5 linked regions of the Oryzias latipes genome follow. The protein of the gene in region 4 purifies or fractionates together with the protein of the main gene of each other region. This does not show direct contact. Links are inferred from orthologs where the notes say so. Each region holds a gene or a part of one and is shown on either strand. Other genes may lie near its edges.

What was found.
Region 1: the proteins of copa (region 4) and nudcd1 purify together in Homo sapiens (co-immunoprecipitation; 3 studies listed by BioGRID and IntAct, with this or other methods). This does not show direct contact. The link is inferred for Oryzias latipes from reciprocal best matches to the Homo sapiens genes COPA and NUDCD1.
Region 2: the proteins of copa (region 4) and copb1 fractionate together in Homo sapiens (co-fractionation; 6 studies listed by BioGRID and IntAct, with this or other methods). This does not show direct contact. The link is inferred for Oryzias latipes from reciprocal best matches to the Homo sapiens genes COPA and COPB1.
Region 3: the proteins of copa (region 4) and copz1 fractionate together in Homo sapiens (co-fractionation; 6 studies listed by BioGRID and IntAct, with this or other methods). This does not show direct contact. The link is inferred for Oryzias latipes from reciprocal best matches to the Homo sapiens genes COPA and COPZ1.
Region 5: the proteins of copa (region 4) and arcn1 fractionate together in Homo sapiens (co-fractionation; 4 studies listed by BioGRID and IntAct, with this or other methods). This does not show direct contact. The link is inferred for Oryzias latipes from reciprocal best matches to the Homo sapiens genes COPA and ARCN1.

Annotation. Positions count from the first base shown.
Region 1 is NC_019869.2:17,455,692-17,459,210, reverse strand, and holds part of nudcd1 (nudC domain-containing protein 1), read right to left. Parts: intron 2,713-3,519; coding exon 2,527-2,712; intron 1,666-2,526; coding exon 1,482-1,665; intron 222-1,481; coding exon 33-221; intron 1-32.
Region 2 is NC_019861.2:19,372,491-19,375,445, reverse strand, and holds the end of copb1 (coatomer subunit beta), read right to left. Parts: coding exon 2,783-2,955; intron 2,554-2,782; coding exon 2,374-2,553; intron 2,038-2,373; coding exon 1,893-2,037; intron 1,791-1,892; coding exon 1,671-1,790; intron 1,589-1,670; coding exon 1,443-1,588; intron 1,321-1,442; coding exon 1,231-1,320; intron 1,116-1,230; coding exon 960-1,115; intron 797-959; coding exon 737-796; 3' UTR 508-736; downstream 1-507. UniProt on the Homo sapiens protein: The coatomer is a cytosolic protein complex that binds to dilysine motifs and reversibly associates with Golgi non-clathrin-coated vesicles, which further mediate biosynthetic protein transport from the ER, via the Golgi up to the trans Golgi network.
Region 3 is NC_019865.2:12,850,751-12,854,838, reverse strand, and holds the start of copz1 (coatomer subunit zeta-1), read right to left. Parts: upstream 2,811-4,088; 5' UTR 2,731-2,810; coding exon 2,713-2,730; intron 2,267-2,712; coding exon 2,198-2,266; intron 1,512-2,197; coding exon 1,430-1,511; intron 1,337-1,429; coding exon 1,245-1,336; intron 835-1,244; coding exon 779-834; intron 675-778; coding exon 597-674; intron 481-596; coding exon 429-480; intron 336-428; coding exon 297-335; intron 1-296. UniProt on the Homo sapiens protein: The coatomer is a cytosolic protein complex that binds to dilysine motifs and reversibly associates with Golgi non-clathrin-coated vesicles, which further mediate biosynthetic protein transport from the ER, via the Golgi up to the trans Golgi network.
Region 4 is NC_019875.2:3,225,394-3,227,981, forward strand, and holds part of copa (coatomer subunit alpha), read right to left. Parts: intron 1,640-2,588; coding exon 1,556-1,639; intron 1,459-1,555; coding exon 1,358-1,458; intron 820-1,357; coding exon 673-819; intron 581-672; coding exon 440-580; intron 348-439; coding exon 165-347; intron 36-164; coding exon 1-35. UniProt on the Homo sapiens protein: The coatomer is a cytosolic protein complex that binds to dilysine motifs and reversibly associates with Golgi non-clathrin-coated vesicles, which further mediate biosynthetic protein transport from the ER, via the Golgi up to the trans Golgi network.
Region 5 is NC_019871.2:31,556,497-31,560,466, forward strand, and holds the start of arcn1 (coatomer subunit delta), read right to left. Parts: upstream 2,810-3,970; 5' UTR 2,540-2,809; coding exon 2,537-2,539; intron 1-2,536. UniProt on the Homo sapiens protein: Component of the coatomer, a cytosolic protein complex that binds to dilysine motifs and reversibly associates with Golgi non-clathrin-coated vesicles, which further mediate biosynthetic protein transport from the ER, via the Golgi up to the trans Golgi network.

The sequences.
Region 1 (3,519 bases), on a different chromosome or scaffold from region 4:
AAACGCTTCCCGAATCGGTCCCTTAAACCCACCTATCTTGTCGGCCTCCATGGCCTGCGGCTCGGGCAGCTCTACGGGACGACCGTCCACATGCGTGAAGACAAATGGCTTCTCTGAAGCCACCATTAGGCCCTTCCCTTGAGGCTCCACAGCAGCATAGTGAGGCACGGACTTCCCCCGCAGGAGCCTTCTCTTGCTCACCTCGTATTTTTTCTCCTGACCTGCGTTTGGAAACCAAAGAATGCTGTGACAAAGCAATCTCACCTTCCGTTTAAGTAAGCCAGAAACGCATTAGGAGAAAGTCAAACTAAATATTGATCGAGAATCATTTTCTGCTCTTGACATGAGCAAGTTGCAGCTTTTATTTAGATTAAACATCAAAATAATGGAGACTTGGATGTAAAATGTTAAAACTCCTTCCATCTGCTGTGCTTCCAAAGCTGCAAAGAAGCTAACTGACTGATTGCTGCAAATCTCATTAGAAGTCCTGAAGAAAACTGGATTTTACCATCTTCTAATTTGAAAAAGTATTTATATATAAATGGTATATTTCCAAAAACATAATAAAAAGGAATTTTTTAAGATGCAGTTAATTTTCTTAACGAAAACAAATACAAATTTGAAGATGCAGCACACAGAAATTCATGGGCTGCATCTTTAGGTCAATGAAAAATTCTGTATAGAAATGAAAAAGCAGCTGCTGCGTTTTTTACCTTAATAAATTCATAATTTAATTGCAGGATTGTGTTTTGCAGAAAGCATTTGCTTTGAGACTGAACTGGATATATTTTAGTATGGACAACCAGGACTTTGTTAAAAAATCATGTTAAGAACAAAAATTGCATCAAGGTAAAGGTAAAGGTAAAAAAAAAAACAAATGTCAATCAAGGTTAAAACTATGTACTGCTAGGACTTTTTTGTGATTTGCTGTTTGACGTGATTAAATTGTGAACTAAGAATGTTAACATTTAGACTTTTGTTTTTAAATCGGAAAGAAGGCTTCAAGAAATAAATCAAAAATTCTCACCCAATTGGCAGATTATTTAAAAACCAAAAAAGTAGAAACCTCGTTCTATCGAGAATTCTTATTTTGATAAAAAGAATTCTAGTGACTAAGGCTTGTTTTCTCAAACCAAGATTATTTTGCTATTGAAAAACTATCTTGATAAGGTTACTTTTCTTGTAAAACATTTTTTCTTAAAATGAGGGTCCTTTTACTTTCATTGGATTGAGTTTGTTGCTGTCTCTATGAGTGGGACAAATGTTCCACCAACTGAATGAAGAAATAACTTCTTCCATTTCATCAAATGTCAAGAATCTTATTGAGACTGCTGATATTTGCTCCAAACAGTTCTAATATCATCTGATTCTTTGAAATCACATCTTATCTAATTCTGAATACGGAAATAAGTTTTCTAATAAAACTACGGTAAATTCATCATTCACATCTTACTTGACATTCAGATCAGTGCATCACCCACCATGTGCTGCAGTGCTGCTGACTGTGATCCATTCAAGTGACACATAATATCCACTTCCTGTGGCTTCCTGTGAGTCTTTCTGGATGCGGAGCAGCAGAACCTCCACAGTATGAACGCCAGCCTGGACGTGAGAGACGCTGTGGAGGATGGTGAAAGGCTCGCCGGTGTCCTCAACAAACAGCGGCTGTGGAAACACGTTCAGGGGTGGATTTGACAAACAAGCTGTAGTTAAAGAGCAAAATCTCTTTGCTGGAGATGAATTCATGCAAACATTTTCAATAAATCTTCATTAATTTTGATATCCGTCAGCTCTTTATCACTCCCTCAGCGTGCATCCAAGTGTTGTCAAATGTTCTCATGGTTTTCTGATGGGCTTTAAATGTTTTCATGGACACTTTCAGATTTTCTGTATCTGAGCATCTTTGTAGGATTTCAGATGAGGCTCTTTGTAAGATTGGATACTCAACAGGAAAACATTCAATTTCGCTGAACATAGCCAGGTACAAAAGAACACATCCTAATAGGAATAGAAAAAAACTTGAAAGCCTGGACAACTAGTACTCCAGATATCTTTCAAAGACAGAAAAGAAAGTTCAGTCTTTTAAAGCAAAATTCCAGATGGACACAGAAAACAGGACTGTTTACTGTAATACTTGTTCTTTATTTTGAGTCATTCTGGAGAAGACTGTCATTGCAGCACACCCTCACCACCTTCTTATCATTTAGGAATCTCTGTCAATGCTCTGGTTGTCTGAACAGTAGACCTAAGGCATTATTATTATTTTTCCTCTTTAAAGTGATGCATTCAAGTCCAAAAGTATGTCCGTATTCTGCGTGACAATGTGGTTAAGTGTATAAACATTTGAAACCATTCACTCATTTTCTTCCTAACATGAGGTGCTGATGATGCATTCAAGTGCAGCCATTTCAGTCTCATTAAGAAGACTTCACAATGTTTTATTAACCAGAACCAACATATTAAAGTCAGGTCTGAATCACGGGGTAATAAGGCATATCTTTATCTACATCCTGCAGCTTTACTCACTTCCCACTTCACATGCGAGCCATCTCCCCTCTTGCCGGTGCGAAGAAGGTACAGGTGGCCTCTACCATCAGAAAGAGCAGCCCAGGTGGAGGAGGTGAGGCTGAGGGAGGAGCACAGGTGGTCTTCACAAAGACCAGGTTCCTCACTGATGCGGTACACCTCTTTTGGCTTCCCCAGTGCTGAGTCCTGGAATCATTTCACATCCACACACATACACACACACACAAAAAACGTAATGTTTGACAAAGTCTTAAGGAAAATACTTCATAGATTTTCAAAGTTTTCTTTCCATAGAATGTAGAAACATATTTTAGTCAGTTGTTTTCCATTTCAAAGAAAAGTGAACGGTCATTTTGACAGACTTATTTTTCTTTTTGAAATCCAATGACAGTTATTAAAAACGATAAAAATGTATTTCAAAGCAATCTAGTTTTGTCAGTGACTATGTCCGAATGAGTGCACTACAAAATGTGTTTCAAGGTCATTTTTTTATCAAACAAATCAATCGAGATTTCCTTTCATGCATTACAGCTCAAAGTGCAACATTTTCATCTTCAGAACTCAGTGGACTCAGTTGTCATAAAATGTTTGTATTAATTAGATTTTGACTTTGTGCAATGTGGGATGTCATATTTGCCATTAAAAAAAAACAAAAAATAAAAAAGCTAGTGAGCATGGTGTCCGAATTGCTTTGAAAATACAGGGCACTAGATACGGTAGTCCTGCACTATATACGTTTTCTTTAGGGAGTGGGGAGGGAATTGGAAGATAGCCATTATATTTGTCAATATAATTATTGACAAAGAAGCAGAAAGAAGCAAACATGTATCATTCCAAAACTGATTATGATAAGTGACAATGTCTGGTCCAGAAAATAATATTCTATGCCTTTATTTTTTGGCGATGAGTCGCATTACGGTTCAATGGCAAAGAGGAAACAAACTACTAAAACGTTAACAGGCCAGTTTGAAAACTAACGAAAGATGTTATGAT
Region 2 (2,955 bases), on a different chromosome or scaffold from region 4:
CCACCCAAACTGCAAGACAGCTGTTTATTTTTACGGTTTAAGGTCTGACCTGTAAGCAACACTTCAACCTCTATCTATCCCCCCTGGAGGGACAGATTTCCCAGATATTGTAAATGTATGACTGGGGTTGTGACCCTTCAGCTTGGCTGACTCCCAGAAATGTCCCTTTTCTCATAAATTATAAATAGAGCAAGTGGAACATTCACACCCGTGCCCACAGAAAGCCGTCGCTATCTCAGCAACAGTAAACTATGGAAAATATTTTGACTTTGTTTAAAAGAAAAGTGTCTGCTTTAGTTGGTTTAGACTGCAGACTCAAAAAAATAAAAAATATTCCAGTCAGTTTCACTGCAAGATATCACAGGAGGAATGTGAGGAATTCTAATTAGTGCCGGAAGATAAGGGGCGGATGCAGAGTCCCTCTGCTTCTAAAGGCCAAAACCACCTTTTGGCTAAATTACTAAAACCCTGCATTAAAGATAAAATGCAACTTTTCAGTAGAATGTTCGTACAAACTTTTAATAAAGGAGCAAAATTTACTGTAATATACATGTTTATTGAAAATCATACAGGACAAAGCAAAAAAAAAAAAGAAAAGAAAACAGAGGTGCAGCTGTCAATGGGAGGAGATTAGAGGAAAAAAAAGAAAGAAAGCAGAAGTGGCTGACCATAGTGATTTACTAATCTGCACAAATGAAAAGACTAAGATGACTGACACAAGAGAACACAAGCTGTTTTAGAGGTTTGCCTTCTTTTGAGAGAGATTGATCTTGTCACCCAGGCTCAGAGCCATCCCCTGTGGAACCAAGAAAGATGCATTAAAGCAAACCGTAACATGTCAATAAAACCACAACAAATACGATGGTTTTTGAAGTTTCACTTCATCGCTTATCTAGGTGAATACATCAACGTGCTTTTGAGAAGTGGTTTACTTTAGCGCTGCAACAGCTGCGACCCACCTGACTTTTGGCTCGGATGCGAATGTGTCCGGTGACCGGCGCCTCCGGCCCGAGGTGGATGGGCTTCTCGATGCTGACGTTAGCCAGAGCATCTTCTCCAAAGATGGAGCGAGCATAAAGGTTAGCAGCCATGAAGCCGCAGAAGCCAGAGAGCGCCTGGGTTTTACAGGGGAAATGAAGAACAAGATTAATCCTGTCATATAAACTGAAAAAACAATAACTCTCTGACTACTTTATATGATAAATTCTGAAACAAACAAACAATGCCAACCTTTTCAGGGGTCAAACACTTCATGTTTGTGGACTTGAGGATGTGCTGGAGGTACTCGTTCAGATCAACAATGTTGGTGTTCACGGTCACCTGAGATGATTAAAGATCCACACATATTCCATCAATTTCCAGAGGTTTTTGAATGTAAACAACGTTCTCTCAATTGATAAATCAATATATGCGGTCCCTGTCGTAAATAAACAAACAACAACCTTGTTTTCCCACTCAAACTCTGCCCACATCTGTCTGAACTCTGCATCGGTGCAGGATGCCGGCTGGATGTAGTCCATGATGTCGATGTGGATGTCGCTGAGAACCACACAGTTTCTGTCGCTGGCAGCTCCAGATACGTCATAGACTGTAAAGCAGGGAACAAAGGCATTAGATTAGATAACAGAAAGGGCAGGAAAGCGGAAAAAAAAGAAGAAAAAAAATCTCACCAATGTTGCCAAAAATGATGCCGTTCTCTGTAGAGGCCACTTTGACATTAGCCTTGATGTTTGCAAAATCGTGAGGAGCCAGAGTTAAAGGTGAAGGTTTTTCCACCAACTTGAGATCCCCTGCAGAGAAGAAAAGCTCATTTAAGGCGCACAAGCCAGTTAGAGATGCTATAAAAACTGAGAAGCATTAGCTCAGTGAAGCAGAAAGTAGAAAGAGCTAACCTAAAGTGGCCAGTTCCAGGGTGCAGTTCTGAAGAGTATCACTAGTCTGGTTGACCACCAGCACATCCAGAACAATGTCATACTGGTTGACATGGACATAAGCTTCAGCATACACTGGGTCAGAGAAGCCGGTCAGCTGGGTCACCTAATGTGGATTTAAAAAAAAAAAAACATTACTTACATGAAGATCGAATCAAATATAAATGTTTAAAGATGATGTGTTTGTTCTAGCATTCATTTTCTGGCAGGATTTCCTTCTTCCACCAGAAAGAACTTCTGTAGAAACAATTTAAACTTATTTGACATCCACATCACAAGCCAAAACTGAGTTTATTGTGTTTATCTGTTTTGACTAAACATCGTTACCTACCAAGTTTAATGCATAAAAGATTTCAAAATTAAAATATAAATTTTAAAAAAGCACTAAAACTGGGATGATCACAAAGTAAACTTTGTACTTTGGGATTTTTCTGCAGTGCACCTTGTTGAGTTTTGATGCCAGAGGGTCAGCAGCTTCTTTTCTCTGAGTGTTCCCCATAGCAGCCAGCAGGCTGAGCTGAAACTGATCCTCCTTGGAGCACATCTCATTTTTGGCTGTGAGCTGCATGAAGGAGATTGGATCGTCTGCCTGAACCGTCACATTCCGTTTCTCTGACTCTTTCTGTGGCAAAAAGAGAAAGAAAAACCACAAAATATGAGCCTTCTTTTCTCTGAAGTTATCAATTCAATTGAGTTATATGTTACACATCTAAAGACTAGAAACAAGGCCACAAATGTACTGAACTTTATTACCTGCTCATTATCCAGCTGTAAAGTCCAGATGTTTGCTCTGTTTTGTGTCAGTAATGATTTTTCTGAACAGAGAGGTGAGGACTGAGTGGACTGTTTACCTTCTGTGACAGCTTCTCTTCCTCCAATCTGACAGCCAGCATGTGTGACAGGGATTTGCGGCACTCCTTGTTGAAAATGTCATTCATGAGCGGCGAACACTCTGACAGAACCTTCAGGCAAAGCGAGATGCGGTCCACATCGTCGTCTGTGATTGGCTTCTTGGGCAGGGACG
Region 3 (4,088 bases), on a different chromosome or scaffold from region 4:
ACACACACACACACACACACACCCACACACACACAGACTCATCTAGACACTAAATGGCAGAAGCCATTATTGGCTAGCTACCACCTTACCACTGAATAATCAGTGATCATTTGCACACTTATGCATATGTGACGATACAAAATATGTCAGCCTGGAGGCAAGTAATCATACAGAAAAAGAAAATGACAATAACAGTACCCTTGTATATTCAAACTTCAAAGTAATGACTTTAAACACTCAATAGATCTTTAAACTCCACAGCAGAGTGAGGGGTAAAGTAGGGATGTTGTCCTCACCTGGGTGACTGTCTGCTCTGTCAAAGGTACATCATCTCCCTGCAAGAACAAATGCATTGTATTTACAGCTCGCACATTTACTGTCCAATCAAATGGAGATATTTTAGAGAAGAGGAGCGGAGCGGAGCTTACTCTGAGGGCTACACGATGCACAACCTGCTGTGGGTCACTCTCCAAGATTACTCTGAAAGTGAGGAGTCATAGTAACGATTACGAAACAAAATGAAGACACAGTAACGTATGATTTTTTTTTCCCCTAAAGAACACATTTCAAGACGCTTTATGCTTCTCATTTCTTACCCTCCGTCTACGATCTCATCCACAGCCAAGAAGAGTCCTTCCATATTCTCCAGCAAGGCTCTCTTTTCAACATTTTTCCTAAAAAGTTATGAAGAAATAAACTTAGAGCTGAAACTCTTTGAATATTAGAAACGTTTTTAAACCATTTAAGGTGCTATAAATATTTGCAGACAAATGCATACCTCAACATCTGACTCAAGGAATCGAAGAGGCAATTTAAAACAGCCATAAGCATCAGCTGTTGAAATGAAACACAAAGACATATTTAAAACGTTCAAGATAAAAAGCTGAAACAAAGACAACGTATGAAAAGTAAACATTAAAAACATAAACTAAGTTTGAACTTGTGAATTTGGAGAACTAGTTTAGTTCCAAGTAGACGAGCTTAAGAAACGGCAGAAATCCACGTTCTAAAAATGTGTCATATTAAAATCTACCCAAAATAATATTTTAAAAACAAAAGCTTGAAATAACAAAAAATCAGCAGTATTGATCACAGTAGAAAACACATTTACCAGTGTAAATGAAATATGTATTCACACTTAGGTTGGTTTCTTAAAACGTATTTGAATATGAAGCTGTATTATTATAATATTTAAAAATCATTAAATGTCAATTTTATGTTTTAATGTCAACTAAAACAATTACCTCATTTTCATGTGAACTCCCGATCACATAAAAGAAGAGGTCTATATTGCTCTTGTACACAACAGTCAGGCCCTCCAGCAAAGCTATTTCACCTGAGTGGACAGAAAAGAAAAACAAAATAAACTTTTTGTGTTTAAACAGCATCATGCTAAGTCTTTATTTACTGATTGTAAAACATCACGTACTGTCCGTCCTGTGCGTCTTGTTGAATATGTTTTTCTCAAACGCTTTCTGTTCCTTCACCGTTGGATACGTGTCATCGTAATACTGAAAATACAATCGCATTACAAAAGATTCTGAAAAAAAACTATCTCTACATCAGTAAACAAAATGTAGGTTTTTAATAAATACACAATTTATTGTATCCGATCAAACCATATTAATGACTAGATAGTAATCAATAAATTTCTACATATATAAGTAAAATAATTAAAAGACGTGGGCAATGGTAAAACCTGATCAGAAAATGCCGTTTCCCCACTAAGCTAAGCTACTAATTTAGCAATTTGGATTGACTTGAACTTGCAAATGCATTAAACAACTTATAGTACAGCTTAAATATATTTAGTATTTAGGAAGGCATATGTTTTCCTGATTATTTGAAGACAACTTTATAGGAAATGCACTTTGAATGTTACTAATTGACAATTACACGGTTTATTAAAATTGACAATGAAACATATTTTTTCAAGGAAAAACAACTTTTAATATAAATACCTCACATAATAAAGGACATTTGAGTGAATTCTGACTAATTAAGATGCCTCTTCAGGTGGTCTAAGGTTTATTCAGTGTTTCCAGCATCATGTTTCCAACTACCCACACTTCATCTCTTGTTTTTCATTGATCTAGCATTTGGATAACTGACCTACAAACACAAACTATCTTTGTTTTTATGTCATGTATTATATGACATAATCTTTTATTTAACAGATAAATAAATAAACACACACCTTGGCATAAAGTCTTTCTCCGTCATTATCCAGAATGAGAACCGCTTTGACTGTATACAAGGATGGTTCCTGGAATGACAACAAGAATCACCTACGTTTTATGTTCATTCAATTTATATAAACATTAAGTTAACATATGCTACAATCGAATCGGGACGCGAACGACGAAAAATGTCTAACAGAATGGCAGAACAAACATTGTGACAAATGGGACTAACTGTAACGATCACAAAATAGTGGAAAACAATATTCGAAGTAGTGCTTCATTTTTAGCCAGTGTGACCAGGAAGACGGGACACTTCCACATCATCAGAAAAGAAAGTGGCACATAAGGCTAACTTTGCAGGGTCTAGCTAGCTCGTTAGCCAACTCTTACGGTAGTTAGACGACCGGATAACGCTGTACAGTAAACCACACCCTTACCCGCCTTTCAATAAATAGTTCTCTGTGGATAATAGTCTTTCATTTTTTTAAACGACACTATATTTGAAGAGGAAACTTAAACACAGTCGTACCAGTATGGGAGAATCCATCTTCACCAGCTAACAGCAGGCTAGCACAGCTCTAACTTACGTAATACGTAGAGTTGAGGAATTTTACGTCACGCGCAAACGCAAAGTTCAATTCCACTCGGGGTCTTTACAGAAATTATTTACAACATTGACTTTGCATTTTCCTTAAGCCAGCAATTGATCAATTATGATTTGTTATTTTAAGTACATAAAATTAATAGCACAGGTTCGATCACATCTGAACCACAATGTTTTTTGTTTTGTTATCCGAGTGATTTGTTTACCATTATCCAGCAAACCTTAAATTTAAATCTATATTAGCAAAGAAAATAGCCACTTTCAAATGGCAAATAAAAGATGAGCAACTAATGATGTCAAAATCTTTCAAACTATTTCCTAAAGCTTATTTTTTTTTTGGGGGGGGGGGGGGGGTTGCCTTTCGTTTTTTTCTTCTCCTTTTTTAACACACTTTTATGAGACTAGAAAGCCATTGGTTGGCAATTTATAAAAGTAAATTGAACTCTAGACAAAAAGCCTAAAAGCACTGTACTAAAGTAGTAATAGCATTCATTCATTCATTCATTATTTACATTGACTTTTAGATTTATGGAATGGGGGGGGGTATAATACCTAATATGCTAATTCTGGAATTTTCAGATCTTGAAACATTTAAGTTAAAAAAAAATGAAGGGGACAGTTTACCTTGCTTGATTTTTTTTTCTAGCAACACAAGACCTCAAATAGTGTCTAGAATTTCTTTTAAAAAAGCATGCATTATGTGTATGCTGTTATTTTCCTATTGGGTCGGGCTATCATGATAACTGATATTAAAAATGTACCTTGCCATTACAAAGATATTATACTAGTTTTATTGTATTTTAAAGTATAAAATAGTTTGTTCTCTCATAAATGTTGTTTATCTTTACCCCTATGCACCACTACTGCTTGTCCATATATATCTAGTCCATTTCGAGAGAGTAGATAGAGATAGACGTTGATTATTTGGCTGAACCCCTCAGCCAAATAATCAACAAGACTGGCTATGGATACTGACTCAGAAATGGGGCCAACATCAGTCACCTCCTCATGGATGACTTAAAGCCATATACTAAGAGTGAGTGTGACATTGACTCCCTGATCTACACCACCAGGATGTACAGTACTGACATTGGGATGTCATTCGGGCTTGAAAAAATGCAGCCGGATGGTGACAAAGAGAGGCAAGGTAGTCCACACATAGGGGTCTCACTCCCAGAAGGAACAATGGCAGACATTGAGGACAGCTACAAGTACCTTGGAATTCCGCAGGCAAATGGCAACCTGGTGCAGGCAACAAGGAAAGCTGCAACAGCTAAATACCTCCAACGAGTAAGGCAAGT
Region 4 (2,588 bases):
ATGTATTCTTTGCAAATTGTTATCAGCTGCTGAGCCTGAAACATGGTCAAAACAGAACAAGTTTACAATTATCTAGAGATTTGTTTGTATGTAAAAATGTCCTGTCCCAACAGATGTCTTCAGATCTGTGAAATCATGAAGACTAAGCACAGCGTGTGGGTCACCTCTGTTATCTCCTGCTTGTTATCAACCACCAGCAGCGGCACAGAGAGAAGGATGGCTCTGAAGCGCTCCACGGCCTCCTCAAACCTCCCAGCAGTGGTCAGCTGGTAGCACTGCTGCAGGCGAGCGATGAGATCAGACAGACGGAGTCCCACGGCGGGCAACCCTTGCTTTGCCCCACAATCCTGCAGGAATGCAGCGGATGTGATGCAGACCTGTTATTATCATTAGGTTCTGAAAAGCTGCATGGAGAATTTGGATGAGGATAAATCTGCACCTTCCAATTTCTCTGAGGATGACCACGCAGGCAGGGCAGCGATGGCAGCCCCAGGTAACAGGTGCGGGCTCTGGACAGAGTCTGCATGAACAAAGGCTTGTAGGGGTCGAAGTTCACAACCCCAACCTGGTCGTGGAGGAGCTGTTGAAGGGAGGATATTTAGTGTGTAAGATGTAAAACAGACATTTTTTCTACATAGCTGTCATAAAAAATGATGAATGATGTGATCGTACTCTCATGGCGGTCTCAAAGGAGCCCGCCAAAATGTGGTCCACAGGCAGCTGGGAGTTGTTGCACCACATCTGGGTTGGAGCCATTCCTTTGGTGGGTGGAACGAAGAAGCCGTCCTCAACTCCACCACCTGCTCCAGACGGAAGATCCTGTTGGTGGGAAAATAAAAAAACAAAACAAAAAAGCTCAACAAAAAAGTACGAGTGAAATCTGCGTTCATACTGAGACGATTCACGTGGCCACTTTCAATGTTAAAATCAATGTACAGATGTGATCAGAGGTTCTACGGCGCAGCGGCCAGCAAAACCAGTTCAAATAACTGCCTAAGACTTTGCATAAACCAATCAGAAAGCCAGACATGGAGACGTGATTACTGGCGCTTTTATAGAGCTCTGCATAATAAGTAAATAATAGATAAACCTGATCTCTAAACATCCTCCATGTCTTCCGTGCATTGTAAATAAAATATACTGTCAATGAGAATTGAGGATACTGATAGGAGTTTCTCCCAAATGCAGTCTAGTGTCTGAACACATTTTTGTGTCCAGCAGCGAATGGGCTGTGTGTCTAAACAGAGGAGGCCAATTTGCTGTGTGAACAGTTTAACATGAAGTCACAGAGGTGGGAATATGACTCCTTCTTCAGTCTGATGTTAGCTCTTCTAGATGATGATGCACATCTGCTCACCAGCTCAGGAGGAAGCTCCACCTCTTCATCAATATCCCAGCCTCCACCCTCCTCTTTGACCATTCCCTCATCTAATCCTTCAGGAGCATCCATGAAACCATCTGCAAACAGATGGAAAGTTTTTTCATAATTTAAGAATGTTTTTGGGGTTAAAATAGAACGACTGAGGAAACATTGCTGGTTTCGGTCTGAACAAACCTTCATCCATGTTAAGCTCAGCATCGTCTCCCCAGCCCTCACCACCAGCAGCCTCCATGTCCAGATCTGCAGCCATCTGGCCTCCTTTGTCCGTGTCAAAAGGAACACAAAAAGGTAAACATGACAGAAATCTAGAAATGATAAAAACACAGCGCTACTATTCATCTAAACAAGATGATATAAAGCTTGTTCAAAATCACATCAGTTTGAGTCTAGCATACTTTACCGGGTCAAAGACAGAAAAAATGCACACACCAACTTAAATTATTTCCATTTAGTTTATTTTCCGATACCGACAGAACGACTGGATGCTGTTCGCCACATCTGTCTGTCCTGACACGTCATGTGACTTTAAGCAGCTGCTCAGACTGCAAAGTTAGCAGCCCAAAGTTAAAAAGCTAATGAAAACCAAACAATTACACGTGGATTCAGGTTTATGATTATATTTAGAAAACAGTGGTGTCATTTTATTTTGCTTCATTTATCCATCACACCTTTAAAGTCAAACGCGGCTAAAGCTAGCGTCTGGTTGTTAGAATCCACTTTGATGTTAAAGTTAAAATCTTCATCAAGTTTAAGTTTAAACCAGCTGCAAACATTATACAGAGAATGAAGATTGATTTGTTTAAACTTGTGAAAAGGACATTTATGAAGTTTCCATTGGTGAATAAAGGCAGGCACTGTTCAGAAACAGAAAATGTTCCTCTGTGGTAAAAAACTAAAATACAGATAATCAGGATTTATGTAAAAACAAAATATGACAAATCTTCTGCCCTGAAGGATGAACTGAGTCTGTGTTGAGTTCTCAGTGTTATAGTAATTGTGTTCTATGAACAAAACTGTAAAGTTGCTTTTATTGAATTTTCTTACAAATCAAACTTCTACAACTTTGTTTTATTGAATCTTTGTCGTCTCTACATTTTTTAAATGTTTTTGGATTTTTTTTAACTAAATTTCCTGTAGCAGCATTTTCATTTGAAAAAAAATTTGTTACTTCATTAAAAGCGGTCCGTGGCCCGAAAAAGGTTAGACA
Region 5 (3,970 bases), on a different chromosome or scaffold from region 4:
TGCTCTTTTTGCCAAAGAGAGAAAAAGCAAGGTACCAGTTTTGCCACACCTCCTTCCTCTCCTCCTTTGACCAGCATTAGTGCACATGAACCCTCTAGGTCACATGTGTCAAACTCAAGGCCCGGGGGCCAAATGTGGCCCGCCATATTTTATGTGGCCTGCCACAGCATAAACGTTTTTAATCTCTTATAATATTTTTTTTAGTTGATTACATATTATTAATGTGTAGCTGCAGTTGTCATTATTCAATGTTTGCAGGTCTTATGTGTGTATGCAGACAAATTGTTGTCATCAAACCATCAGTTGGATGCACGGCTGTGTGCAGCCTTTTATTGTAAAATGTTACACGTGTCATACGTGTTCTTTCTAGCTCAGTTTGATGTTATTTATTCACGTGGACAGTTTGATCGTGGGTTTTAATAAGAGGACAACATTTCAAAGGATTTATGCTAGAGTAACAAGCAAACATGTTTTCTATGCAACTGTAATGGTCACTTCAAAAAGTTAAAACAAATAAATAAATGAGTTATTTAACATCAAGGAGCAGTTACGTTTATTTTTAGTTACATGTATAAGTTTTATCTGGCCCTTTGAGGACAGCCTCTATACTGATGAGGCCCTCGGTGAAAATGAGTTTGACACCCCCGCTTTAGGTCAACAGTACCAGTAACAAGTCATTAACACCAGAGATGTCTCCAGTGACGTCTAAACAATTCTCTCTTTTTGATGGTAAATCTTTGATGTTTGGCGATCAGTTAATCAGCTGATTCTGAAGCAGAGAAGACCAGCTTTGCATCAATCTGGGTGCAAAGCTGCTTTACTGCATGACAGAAGTGTTGATTGGGTGACTTGTTGATTGGGCAAGCATATCACTACTGTAAGTGTTGGATGTCAAGATAAAGATGCTTTTCTCCGCTGCAGAATCCACTGGAATTACGTTAATTGCATCAACTGTTGAAGAGTTACCGTAGTCGAAAGAATGTCAACACTAAAGCTAAAGCTCCAGTGTTAAAGAGTTAATTAAACCACACAAAAGGAAAATTTGATTGAGATTCTCATATTTGATTTTGCTTTGGTTTTATGCCAGATGCCCTTCCTGACACACCTTTGACAGGCACATGAAAGCACTGGACTGTGCCTTCTTGTGGTTGCATTTGTTTGGTAGAGAAAAAAAGAAAATGTTTTTAATTCGACGGCATCCAGCCCTTCAGTTTGGATCCAGATCCCAGGTGGATGCATCAGACTGGACTGGAGCAGGGAGCCTGTGGCCTAATGATTGTAGTTTGTATGTAACACATCATCACACCCCCCCCCCCCCCCCCATTCTGATTCACAACGATTTGAATAAAGAATTACTCAGAAATGAAATTTTCAGCTTAGTTTTCTTGATACATGTCCTTCATTATAAGTGCTACAAGAACAAGTTAATGACACCACAAATACAATTTCCATTGGAGTGGGTCTTTGAAAATAATGGGGTTGGAATGAATGAACATGTAGTTTCATTCATTTGTGAATGACTCCCTTCCATCGGAGAGACATTTAGTTTGGCAACATCCTCATTTTTAGTCTGTCATATTTTCACTTCAGCTTAGGCAGACAAGGGACATTCGGGGAAACAAGTTAACAGGCCTAATGGTCACCACGGCGACCACAAGGTGATCACCAGGTGCCAGTTGACAGAACCTCTAGGTGAAACCGAGCTGTACACTTCTGATAGACAGAGTGCATGTTGTTTTTCTCATGCTCATTATGAAGTATTTAGTCTTGTTTACTGCTGTGTTCTGAGTCGTTTATATTTACAAATAAATTCAACTTAAATTGTTTATGCGGTATTATTGACGTTTATGAAAAAAATATTGACGTTTTACCTCAAATAAATAAATGAACGTACCCAGAGTGCACTCCAGTTCATGCGATTCATTTACCCACAAACCTTAGCGTCTGGAATGCTTCCCAGATGAATTGGGGCATATTTTGGGTGAATCACAGAAAACTCCAGATCTTCAAACCTCAGAACTCTGACCTGATGACAGGAGCCATTAGTTCCCCACTGGACCCTTCGGAACCTCGAACATGGACGGTGTGCCAAATCATGACACTGTTGTGTGTCTTTGGCAGCTGCCACACAGAGCAGGACCGAACTGTTCTTGTTCTTCTAAAATCTTATACGAACTCTGGTACTGACAAACAGCAGCTAGGGTCACACTAACAGAACTTTAATGACATTCACAGCCAACACAGAACAGAATTACTCCCGGGCCGAACACGACCCGTCATCAACCAAGTTCGGTCGGTCCAGTCCGGCTTGACAACACTAGCCTCGCTATCTGTACTAGCTAATTAAATGGACAACGTGTCCAACTGCACTATTAGTCTGTGCTGGACCCAAACTTAACCAAACCAGAGGACAGTTGCGTCTCCTGACTTTAGTTCCGTTCCGAAGCGCAGCAGCTAGCTGCTAGCCAATGTTATGCTAGTTGCAGGCCCGACGCGTACTGGAGCAGGGGGGGTCCGGTTCTGGACAGACACCTACCATTGTGGTCTGTCTTCGGGATTCCGCTGGAGTCCGTTTCTCGTGGTTCCGGTTCTGAGTTTGGTCCAGGGACTGTAGTCTCTGACAACGCGCGCGGCTTCCACGGACTGCTAGCGTCAATATGGCCGCCGCAGAGCCACGTCTCCACCGGAAGGAGCGCGCGGCCCTGATCAGCTTGCGTGGAAAACAGTGACGTGTCACGCGGACACCAAAACCTGGAGCTGTCGAGTGGAAACGCTCGAGCGCCCAGTTTCTCCATAGATTGATCCGGTTTTAGACGCGTGCCGCGAGCGTTTTGCGTCGCACCCACTACTCACTAAGAAGTGAGAGGGAACAACGGCACGAGCCCCATCAGGAACCTCCGACCAGTGCTGTGAATTTACATCCAAACTGTTCTACTTTACAAATTACATACACATGACAATTTTCAGAATTGAAATGTGTAACATGAGCCCCGTTTCATCATTAAGGTACTTTCTTTATGATACCTGCAGAAGTAGACCACAATAATAATATTTTCTCATTACAAAAGAGGTGATTTGGTTCAATCATTGGCTCTTTTTGTTACTATTCTTCTTTCTCTTTCGGCTTTTCCCATCAGGGGTCGCCACAGCGAATCATCCTTTTCCACCTCACTCTATCATGAACATCTTCTACCCTAACGTTAGCCAACTTCATGTCCTCTGTTAAGACATCCATATATCTCCTCTTTGGCCGTCCTCTTGCCCTCCGGCCAGGCAGCTCCATCTCCAACATCCTTCTACCAATATATCCACTATCCCTCCTCTGAACATGTCCAAACCATCTCAGTCTGGCTTCTCTGACTTTGTCGCTAACACAGGCAACATGAGCCGTCCCTCTGATGTACTCGTTCCTTATCCTGTCTAACCTGGTCACTCCTAAGGAGAACCTCAACATCTTCATCTCTGCTACCTCCATCTCAGCCTCTTGTCTCTGTCTCACTGCTACCGTCTCTAACCCATAGAGCAGAGCTGGTCTCACCACTGTCTTGTACACCTTTCCTTTGAGTCTTGCTGGCACTCTTCTGTCACACAACACTCCTGACACTTTCCTCCAACCGCTCCAACCTGCCTGCACTCGCCTCTTCACCTCTTTTCCACAATCCCCATCACACTGAACTGTTGACCCCAAGTACTTAAACTCCTGCACCTTCTTCACCTCAGTCCCCTGTAACCTAACGCTTCTACCTTGATCCCTCTCGTTCAGACACATGTATTCTGTCTTACTACGACTGACCTTCATACCTCTTCTTTCCAGAGCAAACCTCCACCTCTCTAGCTGTTCCTCCACCTGCTCTCTACTCTCACTGCAAATTACAATGTCATCCGCAAACATCATTGTCCAGGGAGATTCCTGTCTTACCTCGTCTGTCAGCCTGTCCATCAGCATAGCAAACAAAAAAGGACTCAAAGC